Drosophila melanogaster: one gene and its partner. The protein of the gene in region 1 interacts with the protein of each later gene in a pairwise test. Each region holds a gene or a part of one and is shown in the gene's direction. Other genes may lie near its edges.

Region 1 (5,151 bases):
GAGGAGCAAATCCAAGAAAGTACTGAACAGGTCTCTTTTTTCTTAGAGTGCTCACTCTGCTGCGGCCGGCGAAGCTTTGCGGCGAACAGTCAAAGAGACTGCTGGTTGGAGCAGCCGCAATCCATAGTGCAAGTGGTCTCGCTCCCCAAAGAGAAAGACGAGCGATAAGCTGAAGCTTTGCTTATCAGCCAGCCTGCCTGTTGTGCCATCACCTGATTGCTCGGCAGTTGAGCCTGGAATGCTTAGCTGTAGGCAACTTATTTCTCGGCTGAGCCTTCTTCGGCAGGCGAGCACATTTGCTTGTGTGCGACTATGCCCCGACTATGTAGAAGTCCAGGAGGAGCAGGGCAATCTCCTGAAGTACCCCCAAGTTTGGCTTAGGGACAACTGTCAGTGTGCCGAGTGCTTCCACGCCGCCACAAGAGCAAGAAAAAGTCACTGGGATCGTGGCCCGCTGAATATACCAGTGTCCCAAGTGGCCTACAACAAGGAGAGGAAACAGTTGGAGATCATCTGGCAGGACAAGCACAGGAGCACCTTCGATCTAGGCTGGCTGAGGGAAAGGGACTTTGGAGAGACTGGCAGAAAGCATTACTTGGAGGAGGTCTACAAGCCACCCGCTCAACTCTGGGGAAAAACGGAGTTCGAGGATGTGAAAAGAGAATTCCAATACGAGGATGTGCTGGAGCAAGATGCAGCCCTGAGAGTTTGGCTTGAGGCACTGGCAGTCCAAGGATTCGCCATTCTGAAAGGGGCACCCAACGACATAAATGTGGCTAAGAAATTGGCCGAACGAATTGGCTACATAAAACGCACCACCTACGGGTAAATATTAACCAATAGATGACATACTTCATCGTACAGTACCAGGGTCATAAAACTCACATTTGCCGAGAGCTGTATTATCTATCAGTCCACTAAATATTATCACTATCGGTTGATTGTTACAGCCAGAATCAGGCAAATATTTTCAACCAGGTGTCCATTTGTACTCATGATAAAGATTTGATTACCACTTACTCACGCTAGATACTACTACAGAATATGCTAGCCACATTTCATAAATTAAAAGGGAAAACACCTTAGTTGCATTACTCAAGTTCAGCTATAAATTATCTACTATCCCGCCTCCCCTAGCGACGTTTTCGAGGTTAAATCCAAACCAAATGCGCGCAACTACGCCTATCTAATGACTCCCCTGCCGCTTCATACCGACATGCCCTACTACGAGTACAAGGCGGGCATCAACATCCTGCACACCCTCGTCCAGTCGGAGTCAAAGGGTGGAGCAAATACGCTGACAGATGGCTTCAACGTGGCCTCGCAGTTGCAAAAACTGCATCCGGAGGACTTCGAGGTGCTCAAGTCGGTGCCCGTTAACTGGTTTGACATCGGACACGACGGCGATGACTCCAAGCCCTTCCACAGTCTCTGGAGAGCGCCAGTAATTTGTTTGGATGTGGATGGCCGGTTCGCGAGGATCAACCAGAACACCACTAAGCGGGACAGCCGGTTCTCCGTTTCCCTGGCGCAGGCCGTGTCCTGGTACAAAGCCTACGATAAGTTCCTTGAGATCGCCCAGTCCGAGGCGGTGGAGTTCAAGACCCAAGCCGGCGATGTGTTCGTCTTCAACAACCTGCGAATGTTGCACGGAAGAACGGCTTACGAGGATGCGCCGGGCAACAAGCGTCATTTGGTGGGCGCCTACGTCGACTGGGACATTATTTACTCCAAGCTGCGAACCCTGAAGTTCCCAAATGCCAAGGATTGACTGAGGGAATGTTGTGAGATTTAGTTGAAATGTAACTGTGAATTAAATGGTTTTTTTTTACACATGGCACAGCGAATAAATTTTGGGAGGTGTATAAATATTGTGTCTCAACTTGCAAATGAATTTCACTTGAAACGTGTTTGAATCCTACGATGAACGGCGCCGATACTATCGATACAAGCCCAGTGGTCGAGCACTTCTCGATACTGCCGTGGTTGAGTAACTCCGCTCTGGCATCGCGATAACATCGATATAACTGCCACCTCTAGCATAATATATGTACTACATTTATACAAATATAAATATAATGGAAATATGAGAATTTAACCAAACACCGCCCGAAATATGAGTGTAGTATGTGCCTATGCAATATTAAGAACAATTAAATAAAATAGCATATTAACTTATGGCAGCACTTTGTTGCTATGTTTATGTTTATGTTTATGCACGCAGTTAGGCCAGGGCGGATGTAACATGATCACCCACTCGAAGGCCACAAAGTATAAGTGCATTGCCCACTCGAAGGCAAAAAGTATAAGTGCATGGTCAGCATTCACACGCCGACCAAATACATATTACATACGTACATACATATCTCGCTCTCCCGATAAGCCTAGATATATAAGATATACATAAGAACGCCGCTCCGCTGCTGGCGTACCCGGCAGCGCAGCTACGCGGATTAGCCTAAGTCCAAATATATTAAAAAACTGTAAAATCAGGGAGAGACTCGGTAGACGTTGAGCTGACAGAACCATTTCTGCCTACTCTAAAATCAAAAGAAGAAATTGAATAAATATATGTCAGCCCGACGGCTGCCTTCAACTTAAAACGGACTTGTGTTCTTAATTGGAGTTCATCATTACATGGCGACCGTGACAGTCGTCCAACGCTGGACGAATTGACCAAAGCTGGTGAAAACAAAGGAACAAAGGAACACTGGACTGGAAGAAGACTGGACTAATTAAATGGAACTGCAAAAACCAAGGAAAAATCTGAGTGAGTAGAGTTCTATTGAGTATGGGCAAACACCGTGGCGGTTTGAAAACTAAGCTGAATAAACGTATAGCCCACGTAAGGTGGCTAATATACGGTCAGCAAACGCCACCGGTTTGGTCGAAAGCTCTAAAGCTACATGCAGAGCTAGACCACTTGTTGCAATATCAGCAAGAATTAAAGACCCATAAGCTCGAGAAAACTCACTCAGATAATATTAAAAATATACCCACAATTAATGAAGTTCCAAAATACCAGGCATGTCCAGCACCAGCACCAGCATTAACAAAACCAAAGAAGTCCTGCCCCCCCTGGCTGCGAAGGAATCTGGAGTCCCCACTGCCTGGGGACTTGTGAGCGACCATCGACGTCTTCAGCGGCGAAGAAATAGACAGCAGCGAGGGAGTGTCAGCGTGCCACCCCCGGCGACGCCCAGCTGACACCCAACAAATAGACAGCAGCGAGGGAGTGTCAGCGTGCCACCCCCGGCGACGCCCAGCTGACACCTGATGAGCATCATCAACAGCAGAATATAATAATAAATATATATAAATATAAAGTAAATATAAAATATATATAGATAAGAAAAATTGTAAGAAATATTGTAAAACGGAGCATATACTATTATGCCCTGTTAACCCAATATGGCCCGTGAAGCCATAGCTAGAATCAGGCAGGCAACAATGTAAAATACAATTTTTTTTTACTCTTGCGAACATTGAAAGATTTTATAAATAGATAATTCCAAACATAAATGTCTATAGAGACAAATGAAATAAGTAAAACTGAAAATAAAAGTATATACAAAGGAAATTTTCTATTCTATTCTCCAAAATATAAAATTAGTATACCCAAAATGGGTCTAATAGACACTAAAACTGTGGACTCTACAGCCAATGTAATAAATAAAGTAGAAGTCCAAAATGCAGACTTGTTCTGGATAACCATAATACTAATTGTAATTGCATTAATTATGGTATCCAATGCATTAATAAAAATATACAAACTGCATAACAAGTGTCTTAAGAAACGATACCGTAGCACTGCTAACGGTATAGATAATATTTAAGGAAGATCTTTAATAAAGTCAATTATGAATGAAAATATGAGAAAAATTATATGAAAAAAAAAAAAATAATAAATAAAAAAAAATATAAAACGTAATATTGAATTTATCTACATTAAAAAAAAAATATATACAAATGAATAAATTTGAAGTTATGAGTATACCACAGCATGGACTGGGAAAAGCTTGTTGATCAGATAAAAGATCAAAATGAAAATTTCAGAAAATCCTATAAGTGCTTAACGCAAAACAGATCAACACAAGCTGTAACAATCAATAGGAATGCCCAAGTCTTGGTAAATAGTTATAATGAAATCAGAGAGTTGATCCAACAAAATAGAAAGAATTTGGAACGCAAACAGTGTGCTAAGGCTTTGAACCTACTGGTGACATTAAGAGAAAAATTAATATTTATAAAAAATAAATTCAGTCTCCAGATAGAAATTCCAACCATAGTAAACACCCCACTAAGAATAAATTTGAATGAAGACAGCACTAACTCTGACGAGGAAGATAGGACTATAGTCAAGGAAGACATTAAAGAGGAAGATCTTCACGATCTAACTATACCAGCAAAATTAATGCTGAAGAACGACGATAAAACAAATAACGCAGCCGACTCCGAAAATAACTTAACCATGGCAGAAGAAGCAGCTGCCATTAGGTCTTACATTAGGGAAGTCGCCTGCACAGTGCCAGAATTTGATGGGCAAAAGATCCATTTACAAAGATTCATTAAGGCAATCAAATTGGTAGACCTAGCTAAGGGACCATTTGAAGACATTGCAGTTGAGGTCATTAAGTCAAAAATAGTTGGCACAATTTTGAACTCAGTTGACAATGAAACGACAATTCCAGCAATTATAAACAAATTGCAGAAAGTAGTTGTCGGTGAGACATCCAGTAATGTCAAAGCAAAGCTAGCAACAGTTCAGCAGAGAGGTAAAACTGCAACGCAATTTACCGCTGAAGTTGATAGCCTGAGAAAACTTTTAGAAGCTTCCTATATCGATGAGGGTATACCTCTAGAACATGCCACTGGTCTAAGCACCAAAGAGGCAATTGAAACCATGATACATCGTGCTGAGCACGAAAGTATCAAAACAGTACTGGAAGCAGGGACTTGCACCACTATGGATGCAGCGATAAGCGCATACATAAGAACGAGTACAAGAGTTACCGGTGACATCAATAAAGTGATGTACTTTAGAGGTAACAGACCCAATAGAGGATACGGAAATGCCAATAGAGGTAGTAACCGCGGTAGAGGCTTTAATAACAATAGTATTAGAGGCAACTACCATAACGGTTACCAAAA
Region 2 (3,398 bases), on another chromosome or scaffold:
GTAAACTTAAAGTCCTCGGGGAAAAGCTTAGCTGCGTGCGGATACATAAGTTTGTAGGACTGTCTGATGGTGACGTCGGCCACACCGGCTATATCACCGATTTCCTTCTGGCTTCTCTTATGCTCGGATGCTTGTGAGGCCATATAGATTGCGGCTGCGGCCACAGAAATTGGCGAACGTCCCGGTACAATATCCATCTCGACGGCTTTCTTTGCAATGTGCGTGGCAGCGCGTTGGACCATGTTCGGCAGGTCTGATAAGAATTATAGGTATTAATCCTGCTACCTTCAAGTACAGAAAGTGTAAAAACACTTACCCAAGTTGGCGCAGAAGCGGCACATGAAGTCCGCAGTGGTTATGAGATCCACACTTGTCTCGAGAGCCTTCAATGTTAGCTTAAAGCAACGGCCAATCTCTTTTTTGCTGATCTTGCTGACAGCACATATTTCCTTGAATGTGCGAGGAACTCCTTCTTGGCGACAAGCTATATACAGACAAGCGGATGCCTTGGCATCGTTGGAACGACCCTTGAGGTTCTTTCCATCATGAACCTACAAGAAAACGGCATGAGGTCTCAACCAAATCAACCGCGAACTCGAATTTCACCTGTTTGAACAAGTTGTTGGCCCGATCGACAATGGTTTTGGGCAAGTTAATGCGATCGGCCATCGAGGATATCTCCTTAAAGGCTGATATGAGGGAGCGATCCGAGCTGCTCATGGTGCGTCTGTTTTGGTACTTGGGTGCTCCAAAGGCGTCAAAGGATGCGGATCCTGTGCCCGGACCAATTATGGTGGACAAGTCGCCGCCACTGAGCAGCGGATTCTCCGGTCCACCGACACGACTGGGATCCACGCCGCTCTTCTCGTTGCTAAAGGTACGCCACTCGGAGCCCACATCAATTACGCGGTCCCCAACCACCAGACCACACTCGGAGCAAATCATATCGCCAGCCCTGTAGTCCTCGATGAGCGGAGATTCGGGGTGTGCGTAGCAGCACACCTTGTTGTTGTCCAGTCTGCAAGCAGTAAGCCATTATTGGTGTTCACAAATTGTTAGGAAACCCGACTTTTACCTCGATGTCGATGCCATTTGTACTCTGTAAGCTATATATTTTTTTAATACTCACATCAACTGGTGATGTGACTTTGCCCGATAACTCGATAGCTGCTTAGGTTTTTGCTTCACAGAAATCGGAATATGGGAAAGTCAACTTTAATAATTATTTTTCTGTATTTTAAGTTTTCTTGCTGTTAATAATAACTTAACCACCTTTAGCATTTTAGCAATCTGTTTTACTTTCACAATTAATGTTCTATATTTTAAGTTTCCATGCTGTTAATAATAAGCACCATTTTAACTTGATTAAAAGTTATTAATTCATAAATAAAAATTTTTAACAATAATAGATGTTTTTTGTCTAGCCAATTCCAAATTAACGCATGTTATTATTTATTTTTTAAGCTGTTTCTTTTTCACCGTTCCATAAGCGAGACAGGCCTTCAACTTCGCAATTTCGCACCCCACATAAACATGCGAGCATGTTCAAGCATTTGGAAACGTGGCAACCCTGCTCGCTTATTGTTATGGCAACAACAGGATGCCGTGCTAAACAAACTCATTGACATGAGAAAATAATCAAGTTCCGCATTGATGTTCGTAGTTTGTACGAGTTTCGGCTGTGCGAAAAATTTACGGCCAACCTTAACTGGCCCTATATAAATTTCGAAGAGACTATACTCTCCGTGGGGCGAACCGGTCACTGCACAGCAGTCGCGAAATGTTCAAAAACACTTTCCAATCGGGATTCCTATCAATTCTGTACAGTATTGGCTCAAAGCCACTGCAGCTGTGGGATAAGAAGGTGCGCAATGGACACATCAAGCGGATCACCGACAACGACATACAAAGCCTCGTGTTGGAAATAGTCGGCACCAATGTCAGCACCACGTTCATAACATGTCCGGCAGATCCGAAGAAGACGCTGGGCATCAAGCTGCCCTTCCTGGTGATGATCATCAAGAACATGAAGAAGTACTTCACCTTCGAGGTTCAGGTAAGCTTCGTCATCTTGCATAAGACAGTAACTCCATGATTTCCGCCCCTAATCAGGTTCTCGATGACAAGAACGTGCGGCGAAGGTTTAGGGCCAGTAACTACCAGTCGACAACTCGTGTCAAGCCTTTCATTTGCACCATGCCCATGCGATTGGACGAGGGATGGAACCAGATCCAGTTCAACCTGTCCGACTTCACGCGTCGCGCATACGGCACCAATTATGTGGAGACACTCCGTGTACAGATTCATGCAAATTGCCGCATCAGACGCGTCTACTTCTCCGATCGTCTCTACTCGGAGGACGAGCTGCCGCCGGAGTTTAAGCTCTTCCTTCCCATTCAGAAGCCGGTGCAGAAGTCCAATGCGATTTGTAGCTAAATTCTGTATGCATCATCAATCAATTAGAGCACCTAACCAGACGGAGTCGACGATTAAAACGGCACAAAATGCACAAGACTGCCATCCAGCACTCATTCAACACTTTATGGGAATCACGAATAAAAATTGCATCATGTACATAAAATTCTATTGATCTCTTGTAAGTATCTCCGTTCCCGTCTCGGTTATCAGAATGGTGTGCTCGAACTGGGCGCTACGTGCGCCATCCAAACTAATGGCCGTCCAGCCATCTTGCAGCACTGCTATTTCTGCTCCGCCCAGGGACAGAATGGGTTCAATGGTGAAGGTCATGCCGGGCTGCATCTTTCCAGGAATCTCATTATCTACGATGTGCAGTTTGATTAGCAATGGAGGAGTCTCTTAAACAGTCTTACTTACAATAGTGTAGTATCTCCGGGGGGCCGTGGAAATAGCTACCGATTCCATGTCCAATGAAAGCAGCTATCGATGCCAGATCATGTTCGTCGCAATATCTGTCTATGAACTTTCCAATCTCATTGAATTCCACACCGGGGCCGCACAGCGAAATGCACTGATCCAAACAGGATTTAGTGGCCTCCACGAGAAAGCCACCCCGTTCGTCCACGTTGCCCACCCGAAATGTTTCCGAACAGTCGCCATGGTAGCCGTTCAAAAAGACTGTGACATCAATATTTATAATATCCCCATCGGCCAACTGCCGGTCATCCGGAATTCCGTGACAGGCGATATTGTTGATCGACGTGCAAATGGACTTTGGGAAGCCGGCGTATCTCAGCGGCGACGGATACGCTTTGGACTCGAGAATTCTTTCATGCGCAAAGGCATCAATCTGATCGGTGGTTGTGCCAACTGTTGCTAGTTTACCGCATTCGCGCAGTATCCTGGCCGCCAGTCTGCCGCTTAGACGCATGGCATCAATCTGAACCTGGCTTTTGATTTCGGGCGATCCCAGCGTGTTA

Evidence for each region.
Region 2: the proteins of su(w[a]) (region 1) and Bug22 interact in binary tests that used the Drosophila melanogaster proteins (3 or more experiments, as listed by UniProt).

What each region holds. Positions count from the first base shown.
Region 1 is NC_004354.4:1,031,286-1,036,436, forward strand, and holds the start of su(w[a]) (suppressor of white-apricot), read left to right. Parts: upstream 1-2,030; 5' UTR 2,031-2,116; exon of another isoform or gene 2,117-2,122; intron 2,123-5,151. Other genes in the region: Rpp21 (ribonuclease P/MRP subunit p21), read left to right, coding at 1-168; CG14630 (uncharacterized protein), read left to right, coding at 239-825, 1,138-1,771. UniProt on the Drosophila melanogaster protein: Regulator of pre-mRNA splicing (and, possibly, of other RNA processing events). Regulates its own expression at the level of RNA processing.
Region 2 is NT_033779.5:10,429,097-10,432,494, reverse strand, and holds Bug22 (basal body up regulated gene 22), read left to right. Parts: upstream 1-1,576; 5' UTR 1,577-1,780; coding exon 1,781-2,056; intron 2,057-2,112; coding exon 2,113-2,436; 3' UTR 2,437-2,575; downstream 2,576-3,398. Other genes in the region: TfIIB (transcription factor IIB), read right to left, coding at 1-253, 317-551, 607-1,018, 1,076-1,092; CG5188 (uncharacterized protein), read right to left, coding at 2,584-2,780, 2,836-3,398. UniProt on the Drosophila melanogaster protein: Cilium- and flagellum-specific protein that plays a role in axonemal structure organization and motility. Microtubule inner protein (MIP) part of the dynein-decorated doublet microtubules (DMTs) in cilia axoneme, which is required for motile cilia beating.